Linked DNA regions of Drosophila melanogaster. The protein of the gene in region 1 interacts with the protein of each later gene in a biochemical or structural test. Each region holds a gene or a part of one and is shown in the gene's direction. Other genes may lie near its edges.

Evidence for each region.
Region 2: the proteins of orb (region 1) and BicC form a complex in vitro, tested with the Drosophila melanogaster proteins (one study listed by BioGRID).
Region 3: the proteins of orb (region 1) and bru1 form a complex in vitro, tested with the Drosophila melanogaster proteins (one study listed by BioGRID).

The regions. Positions count from the first base shown.
Region 1 is NT_033777.3:23,273,120-23,282,765, reverse strand, and holds the start of orb (oo18 RNA-binding protein), read left to right. Parts: upstream 1-1,909; 5' UTR 1,910-2,335; intron 2,336-3,207; 5' UTR 3,208-3,689; coding exon 3,690-3,707; intron 3,708-9,646. Other genes in the region: Cdc16 (cell division cycle 16), read right to left, coding at 1-82, 152-409, 469-751, 806-1,316, 1,380-1,475.
Region 2 is NT_033779.5:16,038,252-16,050,924, forward strand, and holds BicC (bicaudal C), read left to right. Parts: upstream 1-3,795; 5' UTR 3,796-4,276; intron 4,277-4,665; exon of another isoform or gene 4,666-4,823; 5' UTR 4,824-4,835; coding exon of another isoform or gene 4,836-4,970; 5' UTR 4,971-4,994; intron 4,995-5,572; 5' UTR 5,573-5,803; coding exon 5,804-6,110; intron 6,111-6,171; coding exon 6,172-6,221; intron 6,222-6,300; exon of another isoform or gene 6,301-6,536; coding exon 6,537-6,606; intron 6,607-6,669; coding exon 6,670-6,749; intron 6,750-6,814; coding exon 6,815-7,141; intron 7,142-7,589; coding exon 7,590-7,715; intron 7,716-7,775; coding exon 7,776-8,157; intron 8,158-8,350; coding exon 8,351-9,478; intron 9,479-9,706; coding exon 9,707-9,954; 3' UTR 9,955-10,375; downstream 10,376-12,673. Other genes in the region: beat-Ic (beaten path Ic), read left to right, coding at 624-1,279; CG45084 (uncharacterized protein), read left to right, coding at 4,836-4,970. UniProt on the Drosophila melanogaster protein: RNA-binding protein that is involved in oogenesis. Required for correct targeting of the migrating anterior follicle cells and the establishment of anterior-posterior polarity in the oocyte. May act as translational repressor of oskar during oogenesis.
Region 3 is NT_033779.5:12,201,958-12,211,566, forward strand, and holds the start of bru1 (bruno 1), read left to right. Parts: upstream 1-3,885; 5' UTR 3,886-4,173; intron 4,174-5,751; exon of another isoform or gene 5,752-6,258; coding exon of another isoform or gene 6,259-7,953; exon of another isoform or gene 7,954-8,153; intron 8,154-9,609. Other genes in the region: CG31759 (uncharacterized protein), read left to right, coding at 6,259-7,953.

The DNA.
Region 1 (9,646 bases):
CCGATTAAAGTCGCCGTTTTCCACCAGACAGGCAATCTGAATGGTCAGTGCAGTGTTATGAAAGGGATCCACCTTAAGGAGTCTATATATGATAAGCAAAACCAAATACATTTTTGATCAATATAAGTCTTTTACGCCGTTCTTCACTTACTCATTGAGTATTTTCAGGCACTGTTTGTAGTCGCAGTCGTAGAAACACTTCTCCGCCTCAGCGGCCATTAGGTCAGTACTACGTTGTACCCGATCAAGACATTCAGCGATAGGAATTAATGTGTCCGTGTCATGATCACGCGATCGCCTCCTACTGGATGAGTCAAACATGGACCGGTGAGAAGCATCAATGAGGGAAGAAGCCTTTGAGAGACTAGTTTGTAGGGAAAATGTGGGCGCCTTTAGATCTTCCAGGACTCTTAAAGATACAACTTCAATAAGAATGCGCTAAATATTAGAAATATCAGGAGAACTGACTTCTGTGCGGGCGACATGAACTGGCTGGGCGTAAGCGGCACCTTGACGGCGCTCACCTTGGGCATTTGTGTGTCTGACGACCCGCTCTGCTGCACTCGAGCTGTAAATTCCTTGATAAACTGGAGTATGTCAGGATTAACAATGGGGGACATCTCCTCAGCATTGCGTGCGGAAATCAACTCGTAGTACTTCTTCAGGCGAGATTCATAAAGTTTTAGTATAAACTTGGCATCAGCTTCGCTGGATTGTTGTGCCAGCGGTAAATGATGCATTAGCTCAAACTCTGCAATGATTAAGTTGAGATTATACTGTATTCAGAAAGTAGGTGCATGCTCACCTTCCCAAGCCATCAGCATTTCGTGTTGAACCAGCGCCTCCAGGGCCTCAAAGCAGTATATGGATTTGTGAAGGGCCTGAACATAGAAGTCCATTGCCATGCCGCGATTGTCCAGGGCCTCATAAACTTTGCCCTTCATTAGGTAAATGGATGAGAGCAGTTCATTTCTGTGATTCTCCTCGCCACCAAAGACACTGTTGCTTTCCAGATAGCAGCCACTGCTTGCATCAACGGGCTGGTTGATCAGCGATGTGGTCATGACTTCCACCTCCACATTCTGGATGACATTGGCCGCCTCGGTAAACTCCTTGGCCGCATAGAGACTTTCCAGTAGTAGGTTAAAACATGGCAGTGAATTCTTCTCTAGCTTGTGATGCTGTATTGTGTGAGCAGCACGATGGTATTCCCCCAGTAGGTACATGCACTGCGCCTGGTAGTAAATATCCCTGGGTTCCAGGCCACCAAGCACGGCCACCTTTTCTGCCCAAAAAAGCGCTGTGGAGTAGCGACGCTAAAAATGCAATTGAATTTGCACTCAGGCTCTGCTTGCCGGCTTTTGGTTTTTTTGTCTTACCATGTCTATGAATTGTTTGACCAGCTGCCGGTACAAGGCCAGGTCGATGTGTTCATTGGTGGTGTCAGTGCTTGTGTTTTCCGTGTCCCCGGGCATTTTTATTAACGCAGAATTGTATTTTTGTTATAAATTTGATACAAGTTTTCCGCCGCTGGTAATAACTCATTTGAACATAGTGGCAACTCTGTGCAAAACAGCTGTATTGTTGCCATTCACTGGAAACAGTTGTTTACGCCAGTGAAAAAAATTTGGTTGCTGTTAATGCTTTACCAATAAGTAATAAAATTAATGGAAATATAAAAATTATTTTAAAACCAAAACTTTAAATGAAAATACAAATTAAATAAATTATTTAAATAGTTCAGCCATTTGTGCGAATTTTAATGACTGTTTCTTTTTTTGTCGAGGAATCGTCGAACACAAGTTGTTTCAAACAAATGAGCGCTTTTAAGTTCAAGAGAGCGGTTGCATGCGGTTGGTTCGACAGAGCCAGGCGAAAAAGGTTATTTAAGCAGCGTTGCACGCCGTGGCGTGGCCATAATATCAAAAAATCCCGACTAAAATTCCAAAATAAAAGATATCACGGGATGATAATTTAGTTTGTTCTATTAATTTGTATTGCCGCGGCAGGGTCCGCTCAAATTTAAGGCTCAATTTTAAATTCGAGTTAATGTGGTGCCATACCACAGTCGCAAAGATTTTCAACAATCAAAATAGTTTAATAGTAAAAAATGCGTCCGTGAGTGAGTAGTTTGGCGAAACAGCATCGGAAGGAGAAACGGAAAACGGCGAAGGGCGTGCAAAGCAGAAGTAACGGTTCCTGGCGGCGTGTGTGCGAGTGTGTGTAAAAATGTGCTTGGTGGACGACAAAAGAAACGGGATGCGATTGCAAGTGCGGAATTAAAATAAAATTCACACGAATTTATGCGCCATCCGCGTGTTTTTGCGAGTCCTGGGTATGTATTGGTGTATCAGTGTTAGCCGGCACTAGAAATTGTTGACCGAAAAATGGTGCAGTTCAAATTAGTTGGTAACAAGAAGGTGAAGAAAAACAGGGCAGCGGCTCATTTTTCGTTCTCTCATTCTCGACGTGCGTATTTTACAACTTTACAACTACACACTACTATTATGTGCCGTTGGTCCTGTTTTTTTTTCTGTTGCCTTTGGCTCACGTCATCTCTCCAAAAACTACGGCAATCAATCGCCGCCTTGGCCACACAGAGGAAATGAAGCTGGAATTGCGCGGGGTCTTAATTCGTTAATAAAATGTAAGGTGTGCACAATAATAGATTTTTGGATTGTCCGGTATCAATTGAAAAGAAATATGAATAACAGTGCAATTCATGAAAGTATAGCAATTTTTCTTTCTGTGTGCACACTTATTCTTACTACCCATTATTCTACGCACAGAGCGCGAGAGTGAGATGGAGAGAGTAGAGAAAGGGCGAGACAGGGCTTGGCCCCATCTCCATCTCCATTTTACAACTCCAACTTCGCTGCCACTGCTCATTTCATGCTGATTTATGGCTCTAATAATAGGTTCGCTCAACACACAGCTTCCGAAAGGATTACCACCCGAAAGGATAATGCATAGTTTGTGTTATTGGCGGCCATAAAAGCCCCCTTTAAAGTAAACGACCCTGGATTACAGTTAATTACAGTTAGCCGGGACAGTGTCATAGAGAGTAGGAGAGAGAGGGATACGCCTTGATCGATTTACGGCATTTAACGCTCAAGTGCGTACGCGTGTGTTTTCTTTAAACTCCACTGATTTGGAAACTACAAAGAAGAGTACTCTTATAATTAATTCATGCTTATGATATTTCAGGCCTTTGGAAATTTGCATCGTTGACGAGGCGGAATGAATCGATGACTATTTGCTGCTGATACGGCCACATCTGCCAGCTGTCTTGGTTCGCCTTCGCCCCTCTCGCTCGCTCAGTCGCGTTATCCTGTGGAGCTCCAATAAACAACAACAAAAACCAGATTCCTTGCCCGAGGCTCGGCATCCAATTCAAACTCCAACCAGATCCAACACGAACTTGGACTCGAACCGCAGCGAACTCCAACCGAAAGGCCTGCGCAGGAGTGAAAGAGAGAGGGCGAGAGAGACGGTGCGCGAACGGGCTCTCCGCCGGCAGTGGGAGTGGGAAAGGGAAGGTACGAGAGGCGGAAGTGGTGACATCTGTTTTGCCGCTTTGTCAGTTGGCGGATGCTGCTCCTGCCGAACACGAACGAACGCGAACGAGCACGAACGAACAAGGAGCGCAACGTGAACAAGTGTGGAAATTGGAATTTTTATTCAAAACAATGCCCCTGCTGCAACAGGTATGTAAATAATAATAAAACCCATTCGCACTCCAGAGCGGTAATTGAAACGCTCACGTACGAATAAAGTCGGCTAGAGAGAAAGAGGGAGAGAGAGAACGACCGAGCGAGTGAGAGAGCTCTACATCAGCTGGCTTTTTCAGTTCATCTTCCCAATTGGGATTCGTGAGTGGCTGGCCCGGGATGATCCTAATAAGATTAGTGCCCAACTTTACGCCTACACTTCTGAGAGTTTTTCAAACCACCCCACCACCCACTGAAACAGCCCCATCCGCCAACGTCTGTTGCACATTATGAGTAGTTAAATTCGATTAAACTTGCGGCGTTTTCTGCGCCAGACACCACTGCGCCTCCTTTTCGTCCTTTTTGCCGCCGGGTGGGCTTTTAATTGTACTCTTTGTTGCGCAAAATAGTTGCGTGATTTAATTTTGCTCGCCTTTATATGTTTTTTAATTCACTTAAATGAGATGATTCGATTAGGACACTGAGCGGTACAGAAAAAGCGCAGAGAGCAAATGGAAGCATTGGAATAGCGGATAAAAAACAGAGCTAAAGTTGTTGGGCACGCTTTACAACTGCCATTAGTATCCAGATTTTTATGTCTTTAAAGATTCGTAAAAGTTTGTCTAATAATCTTAAAACTCCAGTGACAGTACAAGCAGACAGCTATTAGCCTCTTATGGCTCAAAATATTACATGTCCCTTCCTGAGTTTTTCTTTATCCTCTGGAAAATTAATTATCCTGCCTGACAATCCGCTTCATATCAATACACATCAAAATTATGTCAGTTGCGGCAATTGCCCTTCACCCCCAAATGTGAATTACATGTAATGATTACAATATCCTTTATGCTGATACGCACATGCTAACCAACCCGACGACTCGGCTCATGCCCCCGCCGACCCCAGACTTGATTTAAGCGATCCTAAAGCGACTGTCAATATGTGTGACAGGTTTTTTAAGACGCTTTCCCTCCTCGGCGGAGCACTTGGTCCCATTGTTGGCTACGCGGCCCGTTTGTATCCTTGCCACGTCTTCCGCCTTTGGAAAAAGTTGCTCATTGTCGACTGTGACAGGAGACCCGGACCCGTCTATTGCTCATCATTCAGGCATTTGACGACAGACGACGCACAGGGGTTGAGGAAAAGCCGCCTTGACTACGTCAATGGATTGGGGATGGCTTTCAAAGAGGCGGAGATGGAAACAGAGGTGGAGGATGAAGGATGGAGGTTGGTTCTGTGCTGCATCCATGGCCCGAGTTGGCTGACAATGGAGCTGCGCATTTGTTACAATGTTTACACAAATATTTAAGGATAATCCGACGATTTCAAAGGGGTTATTATGCAATTTTTCTTCTCATTTTATTGTGGCTGCCAGCGGCGGCAGCAAAATGGTAGAAAAAAAAGATCAAAATATAGACCCAACTGAATAACTAAATGCAAAATGTCAATTTCGTCGTGTAAGCAGTGTCTATACCCCCCCCCCCCTTCCCTTGCCGTATTGCTATACATTCATATTTATTTGCTGGTAATGTCTAAAATGCGTCTACTTCTTGCCAACGTGGCGTGTTCTTAATGTCCTGCTTTCCGTATTATTTATATTTTTTGCACTCATTTCCATTGCGGCATTGCCTGCTGTTTAAAATGCCTATAAATAATGGTGGGGGCCACAGCGGAAAATTTGTCGGTCATAAGAAATGCTGTACATTTTATTTGCCATTTTAAGCCGTAGGATGTGTGATGTCATGCTCTGCAAAAGTCCATATCCTGCTGTAACATCGTTTCGTACAAAATTTTCCTTTATTGTCCTTGCACCAACGTCTTGGTTCACTGTCCAAGTGCAGGTCAGTCCATATCAATGACACCGGGATTTTGTGTAGCAATATGTCTGGCATTAAAACTTGCCAACATTACTGTATTGTGCATAATTAATCATAGAACCTTACTATTAAATTAGATCTATGCTCGTGGGGGTAAACTATGCTTAAAGCAAACTAAACTATCTGCTTTACCTGTTGATTACACACGCCCATAAATATTACACTAATAGTATAATTAAGTGAATGCTTGGCCGTTTTCCCTAAACGACTGCCTGCAATTGCCAGTTATTAGCCGGCTCAAATTTGATTGCCAGCGGGCAAATCATTGGCATTATTCAAACCCAAACTCGAGTGAATGCTCAAGAGAGGGCGGCAATCATTTCGAGCAAATCATTGTGCTGGGCGATGGTGTGGCATTAACAGTTGGTTATGTACACTTAAGTATATGCCGCAGGCCAACTTGGTATGTCCAGGCCGCCATAGCCTGCCATTTTCACTCCCACTACCCAATAGTACGGCTCCAGCTTCTGGTTCTGGTTCTGATCCTTGGCAGACTATTGGAATGTCTCGACATTTCGCGCAAATGCCAAAAGTACAAGGCGGCCAAGGCGTCCTCCAACAATGCGGTGGCAGCAGCCCCAGGGCACATCATTAAAATGTCGATACCAAGCAAATCACACGCCCGCCGCCAGCGAGAAGGATAACAACCAAGAAAATATCAACCAGGGTGCGTTGCGTTTGTTGCACTGCCGCGTTTTGTGGATTGGGTAGTGGTGCTTGGTATTAGGGCGTAGCCCATTGCAATATGAGCCTGTGGCATTTAACAAAAATGAGAAAGGAATAATACAAAAAAAAAAAATAAATAAAAGAAGAGTGCGGAAAATGGGAGAAAAAATGGAAAACTGAAAACAGAAAACGAGTGCAAAATTCAATTGAATTTACTTCGCCAGACGTTGCACACACTACTGGGCTCAACTAGCATTTAATGCATTGGCAGTGGTGCGGCATGCGTGATTGTGATGCGGCACCGCCGACACCGCCCATCGTCCGACGACACCCACTCACCCCTTTGTGACCCCCTGAACTCCGGCTGATGCACACCATTATTGTGGTTGAGCGGATGACGAAAGGTGGCCTGGTCGAGAGGGTATCAGGCCTTTTGGCCAATGGAATGAGCCCGAGGATGCGTGATGAGGGGACAGAAGGGGCTGGTGGGTTGGCGGTGGCGGTGGCATACACACACAATGCTGTTGCGTTATCATTAAAAGCGAACCAAAATGCGGCAAAAGAAAATAGAAGCAAACAGCAATGAGCAACAGCAACATCCAGTCGGAGCACCAACAACACCAGCAACAAGCAACAATAAAAGGCAAACCACAAAAGGGCAGCATCCAGTTGGAGTCGCCTCTTGTTTTCTATATCCTCGCAAAGGTTCCCAGCGCAACTCTGTGCAGCGTTTTTGAAACGTCCGTGATGGAGCAGTTTTGTCCTTGCGAACTGCAGGCTACAGATAATCTCTGTCGTCAAAACTTGTCATGAAATAAGGATCTAGTCTACGGGACATGTATGAAACTCTCAAAAAATATTAAAATGAAACCATTACATCAGGTTTCAGCATAAAATACTTTTAAATAGGTACTTTGTATAAAATTCTGTTTAGAATGACTAGGACTTGTTGAATTAATGTATTAATCAGTTAAAGCGTAGCATACTTAGAAGGGCATGATGAAGAAATATGAACTAATCAAAATTATATTTTTAATGCTAAGGCATCAGACATTCGAGATGATTACTCGGCAGTTTTGAAACTGTATTGTATTTCTGTTTTTTAAATAGGCCCGGAAAAGTTGTACCTTTTCGCCTCGTCGTGGGCTGCCTAAAAAATGTGCAGCATGCACCCCTCGTTGGTGGCTGCTTCTGCTGCTGCTTGCACTACCACCTTCATTTGGTTGGAGCTGGAGGAGAGCACCACCATCACCAGAAACAGATCCACAGATCCAGCGGCAGTAGCAGTGGCAGATAATACAGTGCGGAAAAAGCGCGTGTTTTATTTCCACTTAGCACTCATACAAACGTGCATGTATTGAAGGCCTGTTGACGGCTGCTTGGCCCACCATTCCGCCTCCTATGGAGCCACCGCCTGGCCGCCAGCCCACTCCTCACCCATCCACTGGCGCCCCAGAGAAACAATAACAACGGCAACAATGCTCCGAGAATCGGAAATGTTGCCGTTGAAACTGAAATGTCGCTACGCTTCTCTCGTTTGTTCGCCGAACGGAGGAGGGGCTGGCTACGCCCATGTAAAGGCTGGTGCTGTCAGTGACTTGCCTGAATTACGATATTGTTATTATTAAATGGATGGGCTGCATGCGAAAGGAAACTGCAACTGCGACTGACTCCGCTGAAAGGAGGATGAAGTGTTGGTGGTGCTGGTGGCAATGGAGGTGGTGTAGATCCTGCTGCCTGCGAAGACGTCTGCATGCGCTTTGATAGTTGAATTCTGATCCAGAAAGGCATTTAATGTCTTGTTTTCATATTGCACAAAACAGAGGACACAAAAACAAGCAGGCAAGCAAGCATCCATGGAAGGCATGCAGTTATGTAAATATGATGGCGACACATCGCGTAGTCAAAGCTGATGAAATGGCACTCCTCGACATGCTCAAAACTCAATTTAATTTGCCCAGCCATTGGCATTTAATGAAATGCACAGCACAGCACAGCTCAGCTCAGTACAACACAAAACAACACAAACAAGGCAGCATCTGCAGTAGGAGTTAAAGGAGGTGGATGAGGACGAGGAAGTGGATGGGGTTCAGGATGCTGGATATGTAGGCGCAGCAATTACGTGCCACTATATCGGAAACCAACGCCAGGCTCTGCTTGCTGTCCTGCAGGCATTTGCATCTTATCGAATCCTTGTGCCATTCACAACTCCGCCGGCCTGCGGACAAAGTTCGAAGTCAAAGAGGTCTCGACTCCGGTGAATGCTTTTTAATTTGCAAACATTAAACGCTTTAGTTATACGCCGCCACGGCATTCTTGGTGAATCCACTTTGCTGAACTTTTACTACAGGTATATAACGAATAAAACTTATAAACATTAGCACAGGTGAATGGTGCGCAGTGCTACCGGATATTCCTATATCTTAGATCCTCAGTTTCTGAACTGTAAGTTAAGATCTTAAGGTCTTTTAATTGATAGTGAATTGAAAGTATTGCTTTCAAGTTAATTTTTATTAAAAAACTAGCAGCATGGCACTGACTTTGGACTGTCCTCGTAATTTGCCAATTGTTTTTTGGGCGAAATAAAAACTTTGTCGTAAATTGAGTTGCATTTACATGATTTCCCCCTTGGCAGTCGGCAATCGTTTTGCAGCCACGACAGCAGCTTATAGATCAGAGCTCCATAAATTGTGCATCCCGAATCCTTTCAGGGGATTTAAGCACTCGCCACGTAATATGCAAACACTCTATTACCGCTGGCAAATTCAAATGCATTCGGCCATAACTCTTATCCTTTATGGACTTGCCAACGTCGCTGTTCCCGCTGCCCGCCTTGCGAATCCGTTTTCGCCCACAAGTTGGCAACATGTAATCGGCCATAAAAAATTACAACTGTGCATTAACCTCTGGCTGCGGTCACTGGGAGCGGGAAACGGGCGGTGGGCAAAGGGAAATCGAAACGAAACGAATCGAATGAAGTGGCCCTTGTGGAAAGGAGAGTCAGCGGGCAACGGAAAGCATGGAAAGGGACAGGAAGGGCAATGGCGTCGACAAGGACAACGTCGTTATTGAACGCTTATCACTACATGCCATCAAATTTTAATGCCGAAAACCCCTTTGGGCCGGAGCACAGCACGAGAAGCATTGGAAAAGGATGGCAAACAGGAGCAGGACATCTAATAAGTGTTGTAAGCGATGCAAACATAATAATTTGTATGACTTCTGAAAGCAGAAACATGTAATTTTACAGAGGCTCTGGCCCCGGAAACGCTTTCAAACCCACTTCTCCCGTCCGTCGACCACCATTGCCACATCATGTGTATGAGTGTATCCGCTAAAATGCAGGCCAGGCCCAGGACAAAATCCCAGCCAGACCGAAAAGCAGCAGAGGCA
Region 2 (12,673 bases), on another chromosome or scaffold:
ATTTAAAATTGAGTTCACTGGCTTACCGATGAAAGCAGCTGGGAAATGGAAACGGCGGAATTCCAGTGAAATATCAACGTATGCGACAATATTTTGGCCATAGCGCCCAAGGGAAGCCCTCAAAACGGAAGTTTGCAAGCCACCCTCGTTATTAAGCAAAAGGAATGGGGAGATTGCATGTTCCGATTCCTTGCTTGCATTCCGCTCTGAACTTTATGCAAATGCACTGTTGACACACCCACTCGCACAGAAGAACTTGTCTGGTTGAATATCTTTTGGTAGGAAACTGCATTTTCTACCTTATTTCCCCCAGCCAAAATTGGTTACAAGAGAAACCTTATTTTGGAATGCACATGATGAAAACTTAGCTAAATTCTTACAATTTTTACTAAGCCTTATACGTAAAAGGTATAAAGGGGGTCAATAGGTAAATGTACGATTATTGGCTTATAAATTATTAAAGAAGCCTGACAGACATTGACTTTTCCAAAAATCGAACAGGACATTGCGTTGTTTAGTTTTCACAAAGGCATCAAAGGGGGAAAATTTGAAGCCCCTTTAATGGCAATGTCCCTTCTTTTTACCTCCACCCAATGCTCACCTGTGCATCTCTCTATTTCCAGCGGATAACACGGCATCGGGCGCCTCGACAGCTGCACACGAAATCTTCTGGCAGTTCTGGCCATCGCAGCTCACAAAGCTCCCCATCAACAGGCAGTTGGCGGGGGCGTGGCACTGGCTATGTGGGGGCGGTGGAGCGGCTGCTCTTCTCCTTTTTTTCCTGCTGCAGCAAGGGCCGCTGGGCCATCAAATTATCAACTGTCAATACACTAAGCCGGCGACTGGCAAGGTGCAACAGCAACAACGCAACAGCGGCAGCAGCAGCAACATCGAGGTGACAGCTTCAAAAGCGGCAACATCTAGCGCATCTAGCGTCAAATGCTTTTATAATTGTCAAATGGCTATGGCGATGCCAACTCGAAGTCGTGATGATGATGATGACGGTGGTGATGCGTATATTGGCAGCACGAGTGCAAATGCAACGGCAACAGCGACAGCAACTGCCGATGCTGATGCTGCAGATGTTGCTGCTGCAGGAGGAGTTGCGAGTTGCAGCATTAAGCGGCTGTCAGCGACACTTGTGGGGGGCGTCAATGCTGTAAGGGGCGTGGCCAGTGGGCCGGATCAACGATTATTGATGACTCGGCGGCGAGAAAGGCGGCAAAAGAAATCGCAGGCGATGGATGCGATGATGCAGTCGCGTTGGAGCGCGTGCTGATGCCGAATTGATGATGAAATCCATTTTCGAAAGTAGCTTAAGGTGCTCGCCACCGTGCAAAATAGCCAGTATATGGCTCTTTTCCTTTCGCACCCGAATTGTTGAAGGGCATAATTAATATACATTCGTACTCATACTGATTGCATCAGCCAGCTGCATAAATCGATCTGGTCGTAGCTCTTAAGTGTTGAACGCATAAGGTCAGGGAAAGTGCAGTATATATTTAATTATTGGCAGAGCAAAGTCAGCAAGTAGATATTAAACCGATGAATAATAACAGGAAATGAATTAATCTTAGGTAAAATACAACATACGGTGAAACCATTAAATAAAAAGATACCCTGTACGCCGCTATCTCTCAAATCTGTTTTCGGCCTACTCACATTTTCGCAACAGAATTAAACGGAAATATATTGTGCTGTAAAACAGATCACCAATCAATCACATTACTTCCATTAACTATGTGAAACTGTTCTGTTCACTGTTAAAATTAAATATCTATTTGTCATATTTATTATTTTGTAAAAATAGTAACACATTTTATTTTCAGCTAGACACACTTTTCAGACAATAATATCAACTCAATAAGCATATATGAATGCTACAGCAAGGTATTTTCACTTTTTATTCCCGATACTTTCGAACAGATCTTTACTGTAAAAAATAAAAGATCACAATAAGCCACGACAAATGGCTCTCAGTGAAGAGAACATTAAGAGATGCGGAAAGTCAAACCAAAAATGCACAGTTGCCTGGGCACTGGGCACGTACAGGGTGAGAAAATGCGTGTGCTCAGTCACTGAAAATCAAAATGTACTTAGAATAAATACTATGTACTTCAAACTCTTATGTTATATATCAAGCGTTAAATATATTCAAATAAAAAATCAAAAAGTTATAGGAATTGTGCACAGTGTACAGCAAGCTGAACTTTAGACTGCACTTGAGCTTAGCTTTCGGGTACCGTAGTGCATTTTAAAGTGGGGTTTTGACAGCTTCAAAATTGTAAACAACCGAATATAATTTAAGTCAATACTAATACCCGTTACTTTTAGAGTAAAAGAGTGTTCTAGATTAGTGGAATCGTTTGTAACATTATAAGGTATTCATCTGAGTAACGGGTATCTTATAGTCGAGAGAATCGACTATAACTTTATTTTGTTTGTTTTCTCCTTTCAGAATGAAGAAGACATTATGTCAATGTGTAAATAAAAGCTTAAAACCAAGCACAAAATTAATATTTTGTAACATCCACTGTACAGAAAGGAACTTTTTACGGTTGTGGAAATGAAAAGCAAAATTAATTATTATAGCAAGCGTTTATTTGTAGAAAACAACGAATACATAGAGCAAATTAAAACGAAAAAGAATCTTTATTTTCAAGTCTTGTTTCGGCAATATTAAAACTCGATGAAAGCAAAAGAATTATTTGAACATTTTTGGCCAACAAAAATCCAGCGGTAAATAGTTCCTTTACCTTAAACACAATTCAATGTATGCAATGGGTAATCGTAGCCCAAAAACAAATGAAAATGTATATTAAAAAAAAATAACAATAATAAAAAATAAATGTTGAATAATTTATAAATTCAGTACATATATTTAAAGTGTAAATAAAATGATAAAACGTAATAATAAAACTTATGAAATATAAATTAATTGGTGTACATGCAAAAACAAGTAATACAAATAGATAATTATATAATAATAAACTGCATGCCGCCAGATTTTTGTAATCAAATCGTGTTGTGAAAGTTGTCTTCCCTAATTTATGCCCATTACATTAAAACATTGACAGGGGATTTTAATTTTAATTTCAGTATGGTTTCAATTATGGCCAATATATATAATAAACTATAACCATATGTATAAGAATGTAAAAAGCTAGTTTTATGTACATAAAAATGGGACAAACATTTTGATGTTACTGAATAAATATTAAAAGTATTAACCAAGAAATATGAAAGTAGGATAAAAAAACAGTGAATGTTTCCAGCTGCTAGGAAAAACGATAAGTCTTAGATCTATAAAGAGAATCAAAAACGCGGTCAAATGCATAGCACATAATATATTCATATCCCCAATAAATAACCCGAAATGTGTAAAGCCAGAATAAATGTAATAATAAGATTGAAGAAAACAAAATAGTGATGTAAAATAGCAGCAAGGAAATAAAGTAACCCCTATTCAATAACTATTGCTGACGTCTTTTACTCGTACATGTCATCATTTAATTACGTAATTTAAGTTTGGTTTATTTAAAGTTTGATTTCCGGTTGTACAAGGGTGAGCGTACTTTTAAAACCCACTGTATATAAATACTTTGGTAAAGTGCAGGTTGGGGAGTTTCAGAAGCTTGAAAAGCTCCGTTTCCCGTTATAAAGCTATTGCTGAATATCCGTTATCCAGTTGGCTGGCAGCTTTTTAAGGTTGTTCGTGCACTGGCTTCACTCCCCACAGAACACAGAGCTTTTGGATCTGAAGGTCAGTTGGGACTGGGACCCACATGCCGAGCTTAGTTTGATAGTCAGCGCGCTTTAATGACGACAACTGCACGGCGCGCACAACCCATTAATAATATATTAATTCAAAAGAGCTATAAAATATTAAAAAATATTCAAATATAACTAACTAACGCGCAGTGCACGATTTTCTGACAACAATTCAGTTTCGCTTTTCATGAGACTCCATTGCATTTTCCTTTGTGTTTTTCACACACGTGGTGTTTTTCTGTTACTCGCACTTCGATAGTGGTTATTTTTTTTGGTTACATTGAAAAAATACACCGACTGCCAGCCGAATTCCCATTCGAACCTTAATTTGACCAATTGACGGAAAATTAATTGCGCCCAAAATTAATTAGCAAGCGGATATACAATTTTTTTACGTGAAAAGAGCGTGTTATTTGTCGAAAAGATTTTACAATTGATTGTGTTTAAGTAAATTAACCTGCGATATCTATGTGTATGTGCTACGATCCGAATTTCTGACATTACGGTAAGTGGCGTGTTTTTGGCGGGAATAAAGTCGGTTTCTCTTTGTGCCGTATTTCTCTACCGTTTTTTCTGGCGCCAAAATGAATGAAAACGGTTGGCAACATTTCAAACTTAACATTGCAACATTCTAACCGCTGTTAAGCGTTTGCTCTGCAAATTGTTGTAGCTATGTTGGAGTTCTGGAACACCACCTCTCCCTGCGACTTTGTTTTGTTTTTCGCTCTCGACATATGGAATCGAATCTCTTATTCCGGGAGCGGTTCATTGACCCAGCAACAACAATATTCGCCAGATTTTCTCCTGCCAGCGATTTGCGGAATTCATCCGCTCAACAGTTAGAAGTAAATGCCGTCGAGCAGCGGGCAAAATCGATCGACGAAATCGAGAGCCGCGTTCAGTTGCCTTCAAGCCGTACTTAGAAGAAGTGCTGGTCCCCCAGAAATCAGAGAGATTTTTCCCAACTTGCATTTTTCCAATACTCTGACAAAGCCCCTCAGACCGTCGCAATCACACAGCTATATACTGATATATAGATCTCTATTGCGCAGATCACACCTTAAATGCCTTTCGTCGAGAGATTTCAACAAATACGTAATTTTGTTATGAACGTCTGCCTCGTCGAGGCCATCCAATTCGTCCAGGACCTCTCGCACGCCATCTGTCTGGACCTCCAGGGCCTATTTAATCTCAAGTAGAGATCACCGAGCGATCTCCCAGCGGTAAGTTACGCCATTGGTTTTTGGGCACAAGGAAGTGAAAGTGAAGACACGGGTGAAATTACGGTTTTCGGGATCTCGAGAGAAAGGGGAAAGTACGAACCTCATGGCAGCAGCACTCCATTTTGAGAGGTTATGTGAAAGAACACACAAGAAAGTTTGGAATTTTCGACAGGCGGCGAACCAATAATAATGTTGTTATCCATAATAATATTAATTAGTGAATTTTTATTTCACCTTTTCGCGGCATTATTCTCACAAATTTATAAGACAGATTTTCAAATTAAGACAGAAAGTTTTTTAATGTTAGTGAAAAGTACTTATTCCAGTTGATAGTTAAATACTATTTACCGCAAAAAATTAAAAGAGAACTAAATTTAAAGGTAAAATCGTTTTTTTTTTTGGAAAGTGCATTGCTTAAATTATGGTACCGACTATCAAAATAAAAATAATTAATTTTTATATGGTGTTTCAATATTCACTTTAAATTACCTATGACTCGCTTTCTAACCACTCTCTTCTTATTACGAACATCAATTTTCTTGTTACATCATTTCGGACCTTTCATTTTTCATCACCAGCTCATCCCATCAATTCAGATACACTTTACTTCATTAAGTAGCAGCAATCATCTAACAAAGCTGACCAAACAACGGACCGGCTTCCAGAATCCTTAACTGAGACGGACGTTTTGCTTGGTTTTTAAAACTAAACGACTTTTTGGTACCCACACCTGTTGACCTCTGACGAATTTCTCGATCCACTGACCGATCCACTGATCCAGTGATCATCATCATCATCCGAATTCCACAATGTTGTCCTGTGCCTCTTTCAATAAACTGATGTATCCGTCGGCCGCAGATGTTGCCAAACCGCCAATGGTGGGCTTGGAGGTGGAAGCTGGATCCATTGGATCCCTGTCCAGTCTTCACGCCCTTCCATCGACCACCTCGGTGGGCAGTGGAGCCCCCAGCGAGACGCAGAGCGAGATCTCCTCCGTGGATAGCGATTGGAGTGACATACGCGCCATCGCCATGAAGTTGGGCGTTCAAAACCCAGACGATCTCCACACGGAACGTTTCAAGGTGGATCGACAGAAATTGGAACAGTTAATAAAAGGTAATGCCTTTATATATAAAAATAATAGATTCCTTATTATACATTGCCTTTTTTCTGATAGCGGAGAGCTCCATTGAGGGAATGAATGGAGCTGAATATTTTTTCCATGACGTGAGTACATATTTTTAAGTTTTGGGCACCTATTAGCTTCACACTTTCTTTTGTCTCATTTTGAGACACAGAATGCCATGCCTTATAAATATTGAACATATAATAATATGTTTCCTATTCAATAGTATATTAAGTTATTTAGTTTTTGAGCAAAATTTTTAAGTTAATTGATTCATGTCTTTGTTTGGCAATCTGACTTTGCATCTATAAAATTTCAGTGTATAACCCAATTTGTTTTAAGATACTGTTAGGACCGACTCTTTTGACTTGATATAAAAGAATTCGCCATATATCCAAAACATATTCTTTTACTAGATCATGAACACTACGGATACTTATGTGAGCTGGCCTTGCAGACTCAAAATTGGTGCCAAGAGCAAGAAGGGTAGGATATTGAAATATTTTCAATGTTCAAGAGTATTTTTCAAATAAATCCCATAATTTAAAGATCCCCATGTGCGAATTGTGGGAAAGGTGGATCAGGTTCAGCGGGCAAAGGAGCGCATCCTTAGCAGTCTTGACTCCAGGGTGAGTGAGCCAAAGCATAATACAAACTTATCTGTTTTAATTGTTACCCATTTTTCTCCGAACAGGGCACTCGAGTGATCATGAAAATGGACGTCAGCTACACGGATCACTCGTACATCATCGGACGAGGTGGCAACAACATCAAGCGCATAATGGACGACACGCATACCCATATCCACTTCCCCGACTCGAATCGCTCCAATCCCACGGAGAAATCCAACCAGGTGTCGCTGTGCGGCAGCCTAGAGGGCGTGGAGCGAGCCCGGGCTCTCGTTCGGCTCTCCACACCGCTGCTCATCTCCTTCGAGATGCCCGTAATGGGACCCAACAAGCCGCAGCCCGACCACGAGACTCCCTACATCAAGATGATCGAGACCAAGTTCAATGTTCAGGTGAGTTCCAGATGTCGGAGTCAACTAAGTGTAAGATTATAAATTAATTATAAATTAATCATGGCATGTTACCAAATATTATTTGCATTTGACTATAATGGCTTGATTAGTTTAACTAATTTAGGTAAGATTTTGTAATATACATTCATACATACATTTAAGAGGGGGTATAGAAAATGTCAAATTTTTTTTTCCCAACCCTTGAGAGTTGTGATTATATATTGCTCCATTATAATTTTATCAACTGATGTTACATTAGGCTAATTTTGCAGTTGTGTTATTATTATATATTTTTAAGTGATTTAGAACGCATTTAAAGTAATAAAGTTACTTAAACGTTATTTTCGAATTTGGCAACCTTAAATTACAACCAAGGATTTTTGTAAACAGTTTTTTCGTTGCTCTTAATTATTATTGAATATATTTTAAAGATTTTTCCTCCTTTCAGGTCATATTCTCCACGCGTCCAAAATTGCATACCTCGCTGGTTTTGGTCAAGGGATCCGAGAAGGAATCGGCGCAGGTCCGAGATGCCACGCAGCTGCTGATCAACTTCGCCTGTGAGAGTATTGCGGTAGGTTCGAGAAGGATAACTCAAAATAAGGCTCATCAGCGAATCCTTTTTCCTTTTTAGAGCCAAATCCTGGTGAATGTCCAGATGGAGATCTCGCCGCAGCATCACGAAATCGTCAAGGGCAAGAACAACGTGAATCTGCTGAGCATTATGGAGCGAACCCAGACCAAGATCATATTCCCCGATCTGAGCGACATGAACGTGAAGCCCCTGAAGAAGTCCCAGGTCACGATCAGCGGACGCATCGACGACGTCTACTTGGCGCGACAACAATTGCTTGGCAATTTGCCCGTAGCATTGATTTTTGACTTTCCGGACAACCACAACGATGCATCCGAAATAATGAGCCTCAACACCAAGTACGGCGTCTACATCACGTTGCGCCAGAAACAGCGGCAGAGCACCCTGGCCATTGTGGTCAAGGGAGTGGAGAAGTTTATAGGTAAGATCTCTAAAGCAATGTGTAAAGTGTATGATTTTCGTTGATTCTGCATTAATATACGATTGCACTTTCCATTATTGTTTGATTTTTATCCCATATTTTCCTTACTTTTTAGATATATTATACAATTTAAGATATTTAGCAAGTGCTGAATTAAATTTCCGTATTAATCCGTTGTTGTCACCCTCCTTAGACAAAATCTACGAGGCCCGCCAGGAGATCCTGCGCCTGGCCACGCCATTCGTGAAGCCCGAGATCCCCGACTACTACTTCATGCCAAAGGACAAAGACCTTAATCTCGCCTACCGCACCCAGTTAACTGCTCTGCTGGCTGGGTATGTGGACAGCCCGAAGACTCCATCGCTGCTGCCGCCCTCCTTGGCTGGCCAACTGACGCCCTATGCCAACAACAATCACCTGTTGTTGAACGCCAATGGCTTGGCCACGCCCACTGGGGTGTGTGCGCCCACCCAAAAATATATGCAGTTGCACAACAGCTTCCAACAGGCTCAGAATCGTTCCATGGTGGCTGGTGGGCAGAGCAACAATGGCAACTATCTGCAGGTTCCTGGAGCGGTGGCGCCGCCTCTCAAACCGCCGACTGTTTCGCCACGGAACAGCTGCAGTCAGAATACCAGTGGTTACCAGAGCTTTAGCAGCAGCACCACCTCCCTGGAGCAGTCGTATCCGCCGTATGCCCAATTGCCGGGCACCGTGTCGTCCACTTCATCCTCCACCGCGGGAAGCCAAAATCGGGCGCATTATTCGCCAGATTCCACTTACGGCAGTGAGGGTGGTGGCGTTGGCGGCGGAGGTGGTGGTGGGGCGCGTCTGGGACGACGCCTTAGCGATGGAGTGCTGCTGGGGCTGAGTAATTCCAACGGTGGAGGAGGTAACTCCGGAGGAGCCCACCTCCTGCCCGGCAGTGCCGAGAGCTATCGGAGTTTGCACTATGACCTTGGAGGAAACAAGCACTCCGGCCACCGTGCCTTTGACTTCGACATGAAACGGGCCCTGGGCTACAAAGCCATGGAGCGCACCCCGGTGGCAGGGGAGCTGCGAACACCCACGACCGCTTGGATGGGAATGGGCTTGAGCAGCACCTCGCCCGCCCCTGCCCCGCTGGAGAACGGGGAAAATGGGGCTGCTGGTGGAGGAGCATCTAGTGGGTGGCGGCTGCCACCAGGACTGGGTTCCCCTTACGGACTGAGTGCCACCACCGGACTCCTGGACGCCACTCCAGTCAACCGACGGATGCAGCTAGCCAAGCACAAGGACATCCAGACTCTGCTCACCAGTTTGGGTCTGGAGCACTACATCAGTGAGTAGCTCCGCCGATCATGTCCGTTTTTACCAACTGTGTACTAGAAGTCTTTTATAAAGCTATCATATATGTCTGGCTTGAACTGGAGAGTGTTTTATTTAACGCAAACGTTTTTTCACAGTCATAGATAAAGTTACATAAAGTTCAACATCCATATAGCATTTAAAATCAAACTATTTTATATTTACAACCTGGGAAAACTACAGTTTTTATTTCTCCTTTCAGAAATATTCGTTCTAAACGAAATCGACCTGGAGGTGTTCACCACCCTGACCGAGGAAAACCTGATGGAGCTGGGTATCGCGGCGTTTGGAGCTCGCAAGAAGCTGCTGACGGCCATTCACACGCTGCTGGCCAACGAGGCGGCCTGCAGCACAATGCCCAGCAGCAGCTCCTCGCAGAACTCCTCGTCGCCGCGATTCTCCGGAAGTGCGGCCCCAGGCGCAGAGCGCCGTCCCTCCAACCAGTGGTGATCCGCTCCTGTCGTTCGACCCCATTGCCTCGAATTCTTTTTTTCTTTTTTTTTTTGCATGCCCATTTATTTGGTAGTCGTAAGATCAAGAGAATCGGAACGGTAAAAAGTATAGGAAGAAGTCAGGAAGAAAATGGCAACTCCCTGGGCGAATAGCTTTCCCGCACAACACAGCCTTGACCTTGACTTATACTCGCATTTGTACTCAAATTCCAAGTAGCATAGCTGCGCTCGGGAAAGTGCACAGTTTTCCCAGTGTGCCAATAGGTCGTAGTTGCCTTTATTTTAAGCGATTAATTTATTTTGAAATTATTTATATAGGAAACCGTCTTAAGCAAAAAAAAAAAATATTGTGAATTATTTATGAAATCTAACTAAACGAAATCACTTGTTGTAAGAAATGAATTTATGTAAACTAACTGAAAAAGAAAAAAAAATTAAAAACAAAAGCACAGCATGTATTAAGTGATAAGCAAAATAGTCACGCACAAACATTTGATATGAATAAATTGATGTCTATGAAAAATCAACTAAATATATTTTTTAGTAGATTATTAGATTAATATGATTTGCTTAATTTTGTAGAAACATTTGTAATATATGTACATTAAGTCGTTGCCGCTTTGAACTCTTTTAGCCTGGTTGGAATAGAGGTTAATGACTTTATTGTCTCCAGTTGTCTGCATAATTTGTATTGCCTCGCCTCGTGCCAAGAAGTCTTGCAAAGCAACAAAATCGAATGTGTGTCCTTACACGAACTAAACGGGCGGCAAAAGGGGCGTGGCTGAGCTAATGAACTGGAAATGTTTTGCTCCAGTTGCCGGTGGTTGCTACCGTGTTGCATCAGCATAATTGCAAATTTTTATGATTATGACACTTTGGGCGCAAAGTGCCTTTGCCAATGGCAACTAATTTCTGCAGCCATCTCAGTCCCAGTCTGGTGGTCATCTACATGGGGCTATGCTCCACTTAAGTACTTCGAGTGGGCTTTTGCGGGACATTTTGGCAAGCGGCTTGATTTACAATTATGCTGGATTTGAATTTGGATCCCAAGTGGAGTCACTGACCAGCCCGAGAGTCGCCAGTTTCGGCCTCCATTCGTCAATGCTGGTCCCATTTTAAGTAGAGGAAGTGTTGTGTAATGGGAGGACATAGTTAAGTGGCCATAAGTATAATTTGAGTATGTGTTTCCTCGGCCTTTCAAAAACAGTAGGAAAATATATATATTTTTATAAATTTCTTTCGAAAGAAGTTGAAAATTGAATTAACCACGTTAAATTTACTTTCCATATACTTTTTCCGTACACTCAGACAGGAAGAAGTATTTCTAAAATATATGCTTATTTAAGCATACTTACCTTCCGAAGTCTTGTAATTAAACTCTAACATGTATTTAAAAAATTTAAAGTAAATTTAAAATTTAAAAATTTATTAAATTTAAAAATAATGTTACAATTGGTTTTTTTATATTGTACACAGTAAGTTGCCGTTTAAAGTGGCAGTCGTGGTGAGTACAATCAAGCAGTCAAAACGAAGCAGTTCTCTTAGGCAAAGCAGTGGGAAGGGGAAATCAAGCAGTGGAAGGGGAACCAAGCAGAGTTAGCAATAGAAGCATTTATGGATAAGAAACCCACCACACGGGTGCTCTCTCTCTCTCTCTCCTCGCTTTTCCATTCGTGATTTTCCGATGAAGGACGTCGGATTCTCCGAACCATCTTCGTTGGCCATTCGCCAATTGGGAAATCTGTGCACAGGACTCGCAGTGTCGCGAATCCTTCGACTCCTGCTGCAGTTTACATTGCGTTGTCCGTGCGTAAGGACGTGCGTAGATCATCATTTCAATTTTCGCAGTATTACGAGCATCGGAAATAACAGAAAAAATTGTTTAAAAAAAAATGGTTGAACTGCACTGAAACCGCAGGACTGAACCCAATTTTTGCTGTGGCGTGCGTGTGTGCGAGATGCAGTTTTTGTGTTTCTGACATAGCATTTACCAAAACAGAAGGCGGAAAATAGGGAAAAGGATCCGACGAAGGATCTGCGATAGTCCCAAACTGTGTGTGTGTGGGTAAGGCTGTTGCTTCGTCGCCACCAGTGCATGTGTGTGTGTGAGTGCGAGTGTGTTTGTGCAGTCACGTGTTCTAAGGTGATTTTAACGAGCTCCGTGATACGCGAAATGAGATAAGGAACGAGGAAGCAGCAGAATCGGGAGGAGTGAACGGCTTAGGCGGGCACAAAAAGGAGCAACAAGAAGCCACGCAGCCAAAGCCAACAACCAAATCCCCATTCGCCAGGACAGGATACTTGCTCGGTGCGCCTTAAAGGATTCTCTGATAAATCAACCGAAAATTGCATAAAATAAAATTGTTTGCCAAATTGTGCGCAGCGAGAGAACCAAAAAGCAAAAAAAACAAAACCTTATACTCACATGTGAAATATGACTAGCCAGTTGCATTGAAAGTACAAGAAAATAATAAGAGAGAAAATTTACCCAAATAACCTGAAGGTAGGAATACATTATAATCTCTTTGACACAAATTGATGCTTTGGGATATGATGTCAGGAAGGGTATTGGGATATGATTACGAATATTTAGACTCGTATACTAGAAACGCACAAGAGCGTATGTTATTTAAAAGAAAAACAGTTTTTTAACATTTGAAATTTGAAAAACTAATATTTTAATTTTGCTTCACAACAGAGTTGTAGAAAAATAGTTG
Region 3 (9,609 bases), on another chromosome or scaffold:
CGTACACAAAAGTCTATAAATGTGCTTATAAATGCAATAAATCTTTGTTGCTTGGGTTATCTGTTTTCGCCTATTTGTTGTTATTCATGTTGATGCTGTGGTTTTTATTTGCTGTCGATGTGCCAATAAAGGTTTCCTTATCCTTGTGTTTACTTTTTTATGGCATTATAATTGATTAAAACGTTGTTATGTGCATATCAGCTTTCCTCGAGTGACAGATTAATTTCACAAGTTTTTATTCAATTCATCGATACATGTTTTTTTTTGTTCCGCAAATATATAAATAAATAATAAAGTTCACATGCGAATTTATAGATTTGTTTGGTTTATTTGTGGCGTTAATTTTTTGCAATCAGGATTATCATCTGGTTGAAACAATATAAATAATTGTACTCGCAATTTCGATATTTGAATACACTGGTACTCTGGCATTTTATATACGGAAATCCCACTACAAATCAATTGACAAATCCCGGAACTTAGAGCCATTCAATTAGCCGTAATTAGACGGAAGTTGCCGCTCTGCCACTGAGCATCACTTGTTGCATGAATAATGGCTGCCAATAATAATGCCGTTAACAAGGGAAGGCATGCGTCCAAATGGAGCTATCGGAAAGGATTCTTCCTGCTCCAGCTCCAGCAGTTCTGTTTGCTTTGACAAATACAAGTTGCCTCCTGGAGCCATAATAATATTATTTATGGTCCTCCAGAGGACATCGCCGAACAGAAGCGAGTAGCTGAGGAGCCGAGAATCGATGAAAGTGGCTGACAATTTATAGATGTTTCATTATAATGGTAACGAAAAGGGGGCGTGGTGCTGCAGTGCTTCGCACATAAAGTTCAATGTTTGTGGGGGCAGATAAAAAAGAAGCTTAAAGATTCTTTTTTATTCGCTCGCTAGCAACCTTTTTGCAATGGGTCCTTTAGTGTTCTTAACATTGTTTTTTCTTTGTGTGAATTGTGATTGTTTTGTATGTATTTTTTTTATTGTTTTTACTTGCTTGACTGTGTGTAATATGTTGAAAATGTGGATTCCTAGTTCTTTCATTTTTTTTTCCTAACGCATGTCAAACATGAAAAGCAGCTTGTTTACGCTTTTCGTATACGATTCCTCCAGCTTTCAACATATGCTTCACTTATGTTCCAAGCCATTTGTTCGATATTTACAAAATAAAGCAGCTCTGACAAAACAAATTTATATTGATGACGATGCCTGCGAGTGATGTATGCAAATGGCTGTATTTAAATGGCTGTATCTTAAACATTATGCCTTTACAGCTGGCCAGTCCATTTACCTTAATCAAATTAGCTAACTTAGAGTAAACTTTTAGGACCTGAAATTAGTTTGGTAACAACCCTTTTGGGCTAAGTTAACAGGTGAGTAAGCTCAGGTATTAAATGGAGATGGCATTAACGTAGTAGACTTCACTTGCAGATGTCTTGAATGCTATTCAAAGGAATAAGTTATTTGTTCTCCAACCCAATTTATTTTATTTTCTATATTAAGAAGCTTTTAAATGTCATTGGGTTATATTACTAGAATAAAGTTTTTAAAATAGAATACAATTCGCTAGATCTTAAAAAAACGTTCCTGTTAGGGCTTTGTGGCCTAATTGTGACAATGAATACATATAATTTAAAAAATATATTTATAATCTTTAGTATGTTGTTTATTTAATGTGCCTAAATATCATGGAATTTTGAGTATCTTAATGCATAATTGACCAGCAAATATGAGTACTTAATGTTTAATGATAATGTATTTGTTAATTTGTCTTCAGAAAATACGTTCGTATGGGCTTCTTGCATTTGCAATGCCCCTATTTTAGTAACATTTTGCTCAGAATTCTGTGTGCAAAAGACAACAATGAGCAACGAGCTTTGCTTTTCAGTTTATCAGTTTTTCCCTACAATTACCATGGTTATCCTTGACAATTATTTCCGCACAGAAAACTTTCTAAATGCACTGGATCCCCTGTAATAATTGCCTAGCCCAAAAGACCCAACAAAAATACACAGCCTTGGTGGTGCCACCTTAATTGCAGGCGTCTTTCTCTAACCAAGTCAACTTTCCTCCAACCAGCACTCAGCACTCACTTATTATTAAGTTGTTTTCGAAACTAGGAAGAGGAAAAACCGGCGGGCGGAAATGGAGGAATGGAGAAAAGGAGGAGCTCTCCCGGCAAAAGTTAAATTATAAAATCGTCAAAAGTTGACGAAGACATTTTGCGCCTATGAAAACAAATACACGAGGAAAGTGCTCCACTAAAAAATAGGAGGGAAATGCGGGAGCAGGAGCCACTTAAGATGCTTAGCGCCATGGCAAGCGAAAATAATGACGCTCATAAAAACTAACTAAACACCAAAATAAAGCAAATATATATAGGTATATATATATATACATATATTTGTTGGGCTGGCTTTTTTAAGCTGGAACGACGCTCTCTGAATGACAACGATAATGATGTGCGATAATGTTTGTTGTTTCTTCGTTTGCTTATTTATTGTACTTATTCGTTTATTGTACTTTTTCATCCCACAGTGCTGGAAACAATGATAATGATAATAATGAAGATGTTATTGTGTTTCTCCTCTTTGTTGTTGTGCAATCTAAGACAACTGTCAAAGACTTTGCCAAAGGATTAGTCGACTCGGCGCCTTTCGCCCTGCTATACCCTGTAAAAGTTGCGCTAAGGATATATTACACATGGAGTAATTTGGATCAAATATGGGTTACCAATTTTTTTTTTTAATTTTTAATTTTTTTTAATATCATGTTGCATTTACGATAAAGAAATTTGCAACTGAGAGATTTTTTTTTGATTAATGACAAAAGGACATTTCAAGAAAAGCCTTTTTGAAATCGATTTAAAATTTAATTCATTTGTAAATGGTACTATAAAGAAGTTTTAAGTTAGGGATATATTAGGATATTAGGGATATTATCATATTAGGGTTTTGGAAATTGAAATATGAGGAGAAAATATATAATATAATAATATATAAGTAACATAATCTTTATAAAATTTGTTAACGTTTATAGTAGTATTTATTTTGGAAATTTTAAATCTACAACCATATAGCAATGATTTCAAACAATTCATGTAAATATTCTTCGAAATATTCATGCAAATTTGAAAGAAAGACTCCATGTAATCATCAAAAAGTAGCTTCCTACATTTTCTATAAACAACACAATAAGATACGGGGTATTCTCGCAGTCGCAACGAGTTTGTGTATCTCGTGACTGGTGTCTTTGCTCCTTGCCATTACTTTCGACCTGCTCCTATCGCAGTCGTAATTAAAATTGCACCAGACGTAGTGAAGTTTTGTACTTTCTTCGGCATCAGATAGTCCTGGAAGCCTCCCCTTCAATTTAATCGCTTTGACTGCATGCTGGTTGTAATTTATTTATTGCCGAAAATCGTACCCTCTACTCTTGATTTGCCCCTGCCGCCGCTCGTTGTATTTTTTAATTGATTAGAAACTCGAGTTTTGTTTTCTTTCTTTGCCTTCAATTGGCATCGAGCCAGGAAATTTTCAGCCTCATTGAATTTCTTTCGGTTTTTTTTCCACTCACCCTCTTGACTTTCTTTCTCGACTCGCCAATTTTAGCAAATTACTTTCTTGGCAAAACTTTTATATTTGTTGATTCATTTATTGCTAATGTCAAACGTTCGACTTGGTGAGCTGAACGACTGATATGAATCAGTGATAGCAATCAATTATGGTATCCAATTCATTTGCTTTTTTTTAAATTTAATTTAGTTTTATTTTAGCAAAGTTCATAAAAAATAAAAAATGAACAGCGAGAGCTTTGCATCCCAGTTGGCTGCGCTAACGCTTGTCAAATCGATTCAATATAGATTTTTAGTTGTAGTGTTTCCAAATCAGATTGTGTAACGTACATATAATTTTATAAAAGTTTATCAATTTTTCGGCTTATTGGTGGCAAAATTCTCAATGTGTTAACCTTTCGGCCGTACCGCGTCACTCTTCCATGCTTTTATCAATAATTCTTAAGAAGAAAATCTACAAAAAAATATACAAAGTATTTACCCCCACAAGACTACAAATGAAATAGCCCAGTTATCCGCTTTCGGCTACAAATTCTACAAGTGTAAAAAGGAAAATAAGAAGAAATATAGCAAATTCCCGCAGCAAGTGAAATAGGTGAGTGCAAGAAAGTTCTTCAAGTGTTCAGACCAAAAGCGGATATTCTAGTTGTCCTTGAGTGTGAATGGAAAGTGGGTTGGTGTGCTGTGAACTCGTCCTGTGTGCTGTGTGTGTGTGAGTGGGTGTGTGCGACACGGTGCTTGGGCTTCCACGCTGCATGACAGATTATCGCAAGGACCTTGCCGTCCTTTGAGTGTCCTCGACGGTTATTGAAATTGCTGCAATTGAGTTCGGAGTGCTCGAAGCTATTTAATTGCTGCCGCCTGCCTCCAAGAACTTGCTTTTCACCACTTCTGTCGAAGATGAGCTAACTATTTTGCTGATTTTTGGTGGATTTTAATCTTTATATCTCAGAAATATACTATCGAATATAATCATCTATACTTAATTTCAATATAAATGCTGGTAAATTTTTGAAAAGTGTATATAATATTGCTTAAAAAATGTTCAATATGTAAAACTCTTAAATGACTTATAGTTAGTTTCTAGTCCTTGTTCCATCCACTGTGTCTAATCGAAGCTTTTTGGCCATCTCTGGTTCGGGTCAATAGGAAAGGAGTAGGGAACAGAAGGAGCAGCTAAAAGTCCTCTTCTTTTTCCCGCAGGTGTTGTAAGCCAGCAACGAGTCCTGGAACTGAGCCAAAGCTGCTTTCTCTCAAGTGCTAACTAATTTCGTTGTTGTCCTTACCGCCTCTGCTCCACATCTCGGGCCCAAGGATGCTCTCTGCATCCTCGGGCTTAGCCTCATTCCCTGGCTCATCCTCATCATCGGCGTCTTCCTGCAGTTTCGTTTTTGGTGTCAGCAACATTTCTTCAACTGGTTTCGTTTGCCCTGCCAGTCAGGTTGTTGTCCTTTTTGGTCCTCTGTGTCCTTTATAGAGTTCTATGCGATTTTTCTCTTGTTTTTGATTTTTATTTTTTCATTTGCTCCTTCGTAGTGCAATCTTTTTGGCAAACTCTTGTGTGGCGCACAGTTGTTGACTCTGTTTCGGGGCCAAGCCAATTCCTTTTTGGCCTGGCCAAGTCATCTCTTGGCTTGTTTCGGCGTTTTATGCACTTGTGTGCTCCATACCTTTGGTCCACCCCTTTGCCAAATACGCTCTACACATATGATCTGGCTTCTGTTTCGAATTTTTATGGCCGTCGTCTCAGTTGTCCTTTCTTAACTTGGCCGAAAGTTGAGTTTCCTTCGTTGGGGCAAGATGTCTCATTTGGATCGTAACACTTAGCTTAATGTTTACGACGTTTGCCGTGAAAATAGTTTTCAACTGAAGTGAAATAGGAGGTTTTATAGTTTTGTTCGGGTGTATATTTTGCGAATAATAATGTTCCTCCTAATGACCACAAAAAAGGAATAAACGTTTCCTATATAGAAATTTTTTTTCTATTTCATAGAAAAAATCTTCTATTCTTCGATATGTTCAATTTCAGATCATAGCAACTCTTCATATATTTATCAGCTTTATAATTTTATGAAAAAAAGTAATATTTAAGTGAAATCTTTTTGCTTTCAAGATTTGAAATTAAATAAAGCTTTTATTAAAAGCTTTTGCGTCAAAGCTTCAACGTTGCTAATGGCAGAAGCTCTCTCAAGATCAGCTGTTTCTCAATGCCGAGCATGTGGTTGGTTTCGTTGTGAATGCCAAAAACAACAGCTGATCGCGCGGCGTGGCAGAGCGAAAAAGTAAAAATCTCTCTTCGTTTTTATCGAAATCGGCGCAGTTTCGCCTAATTTCTGCGGTGTTTTCGTGCAACACGACTGTTTGCCGATTGTAAATAGGTGTAAAACAACTTAAATGTGATTAATTTTGCAACTAAATCTGGACAAGTGAGTTGTTACGACATCGGTGCACCAAGTAAAGTTGTCTAACCCAAAATTTTCCCAGATAAAACGGCGAAAAACAAGTCAACTAAGAGAAGTTCTCTTCTTCAACGCCGATCTTCGCTCCAACATTTGCAACATTGATGGGGTTTTTTTTGTTTAAAAACATAGTTCGCAATTCTGATAAATTATTCGGAAATAAAACTCCAACTAGAGTTTCGCTATTGTCCAGATTTTGTGGCACTTCCTTGGCTGGTAAAATGGAGAAGGTTTATTTGAGAAATGCAAGTGATACCAAAGAATTGGACATTGTGTTTCGCTTTGTGAATGAGAATTTGAAAATAAACCGGGAATTCAATTTCCGTCGCCAGATGAATGAGCCCATTGATGCGATATTGGCCAGGATTCAGAGTAATATTATTGGCAGGCTTGCAAAGTCCTGCAAAAAATCAAAAATCAAACCGCCGGCAGAAATCAATGTTAAACTTCTGAGTGACAAATATGGTGAAAAATTCAATGAATTAACATTTGAGGATCTAGTCGTCACCCAAGATATCAGCAATGTAAAACTGCAGGTATTAGATACGGTCTACGATTTGGTGTTCAATCCACCGTGGATTTCATCCCTAAAATTTTTGCCCTCATGCATATTGGCAGGATTTGTAATATACCCCACCAATGTTCAGATACAATTCGGAGAACGTCAGTTCAGCAAAGCAGTTTGGTTCAAGGCCAAAAAGCCCACAGACACCGATTGGGAGGTGTGCGGAGAAGGATTTCAATATCTAGTGACTCCTGAGGATATTGGTTACCATTTGAAGTTCGTGGTGACGCCGGGTAATGCACTGGGAATGACGGGTCCTGTGGTGGAGAAGATAACCAACTCTGCAGTGCAGGAATCTCCCGGGCGTTGTCCATTCCAAGATCGCCAAAGGCACACCACGAATTCTTTGAGCGAATCGAATGAAATTCGTGTGGTGTCTTACAATTTGTTGGCCGATTTATATGCCAGTAGTGACTATGCCGGTAGCACTCTGTTCTCCTATTGCCCGGCAAAGTATCTGCAAATAGACTATAGGAAGCCACTGTTCATCAACGAGATCATCGGTTATAACTCCGATATTCTCTGTCTACAAGAAGTCGATCAGCGAATATTTGATTTTGATTTAAAGGAAATTCTAGAACAACCGCCGTATAACTATCACGGCATAATGGCCCCGAAAGGCAAATGCGCTGAGGGAGTGGCAATTTTCTTTCGGAACTCGCGCTTCGATCTCTTGGATTCTCAAATCCTGCATTTGGGGTCCAATATTCCCGCACTGCCCGTATTTGAAAGCCTTTGGAATAAGATCAAAGTTAACGCACAATTAGCAGAACGAATCTGTGAACGGTCCACCACTCTGCAAACTTGTTTGCTTAGAATAAAGGGTACCGATAACTACGTTCTGGTGGCCAACACGCATTTATATTTCCATCCGGATGCAGATCACATTCGCCTGCTGCAAATGGGATTTTCCATGCTATTCGTAGAGCAATCTATTAGCAAAGCTATAAAGGACTTTAACATAAGTAGCCACAAAAACATTGGACTAATATTTTGTGGCGATTTCAATAGCGTTCCCGAGTGTGGAATCTACAAGCTGATGACGGAGCAGCTCGCCGAAAAAACACTGGAGGACTGGCAAAGTAATGCCGAGCAGGCGGTTTCGAATGTGGAACTCGCGCAGCCTTTCAAAATGGCATCAGCCTATGGGGCACCGGAATATACCCACTACACCACCCTCTTTGCGGGTTGCTTGGACTATGTGTTCTACCAAAACGATCGCTTCGAAGTTCTAAAGGTGGTGCCACTGCCAACGGAGGAGGAGTTGAAAGCCAATACTGCGATACCATCGGCTGTTTTTCCATCCGATCATGTTGCTCTTGTAGCAGATCTCAAATTTAAGTCAGATTGATAAATTTTTGGGCTTGCATATAAGAAAAATTAAGAATATCTCGGGGATTTCTCAGCATAAATAAATGTATACGTATGCCAAATACTATGCTTAAATGTAATAATACTCATTTCTTCTTTATATACAAAACAAAATTCGTTCAACAAATCCTGGCCTATTAACAAATGCTTCTTCTCCTTTATAAACTGTGGCATATAAACAAAAAAAAAGAAACTGCGTAGATTTAAAGTAAAACACGGAAAATAAACCGAAATAAATTGCGGAATGAAGTGACAACAAATTGAGTAAATCCCTGAGTGGCTTATAGCTCGCCTGCAAGCAGCTGGCTTTCCCGGCATCTGCTCCTGTTTTCCGGCTGATTGCAGGACGCAGAGCAATTAACGTGAAAATTCGCCAAGGAAAAACGCTCCGTTGCGGAGGTGGCGCCAACAACAATGGCGCGAAAAGCTGAAAGGAAATCCGAGAGCGAAAAAATATCCCAAGCCAACTGAAGTGATTTTCGCACTAATTAACTGCACTTAGTTGACACATACCAATCTATTCACACCGCCACTCCCACACAAAGTTGTCGTTGGCCATAATCAGAGCCAGTGCAGCATTTTAATTGGTTTCCACAGTGCTGCCAATATAAAGTCCCACATGTGCAATCGGAATTTTCCACAGAAATTATTAGAAAGCAAATGAAATGTGGCCCGATGTGCGGCGCACTCTCGTCGAAAATAATAGTACTCCTAACTTGATTTCTATGTGAAATGACTTTTGCTAAATACCATAAGATATTTTAAAAAATATTTTTAAAATATTTCAAAATCTCTAGAATACTATAAACTATTCTATGCCATAAATTCAATAAATATAGATGCATATTAAAGACTGCTATTCATTTTTCTTTGGCTGTATGTGTTCGTGTGGTGTGTTCTATAAGCCCTGCAACTCTATAATTACGTGGTACCGTGTTGACAACTAACTTCTTGCAGTGCGGGAAAATGGGAAAAGGGGAAGCTCAGCTTTCCACTCACTGTTTGGTTTGGTTTGCTTTAGCTCCTCATTTTCCTGCGCATATGAGGCATATTGTTATTGCACATCAAAGTGAATTCGCTTGATTTAGTTCTGATTTTTTCCATGGCAACATGTGTATGGCAAATTCAAAAGATTTTAATGAGTTGTGTGGGTATGGTTGAGTGGAAAGTAGTGAAGACTCGTATTTATTCATGTATTTCAATAGAAAGCCATTCCGAAGGACCTCTATTGCTTATTTCTTCTAATTGAAGTAATTTAACTAGCAATGCGTACATTATAAAAATCAACATTTATGTACAAACGGTAATCTTATTTACTTATTTATGTTACTCATTTAGTACATTGAGTTCATAAAAAATGACAGAAAATAACCACCAACCAAGGGTCATCGCCGGGACATTTTATTTACTTTGTTGATTAAGCTAAAATAGCATAACAGCAGGGATGGGATCATCCAAGTGGCAAAGTTACGAGGCAACTGCCGAGGACAAAGTCCTGCAAAAAAAAAAAAAAAAAAACAGAAAACAAGAAAAACCCCCGAAAAAAAAACCAACGAAGAAAAAGCAAACGAAAGCATACGGAAATGCCAGGAGCGTGGATTACATTAACGCAGTATTTTCATAGACTAGGGTGGTG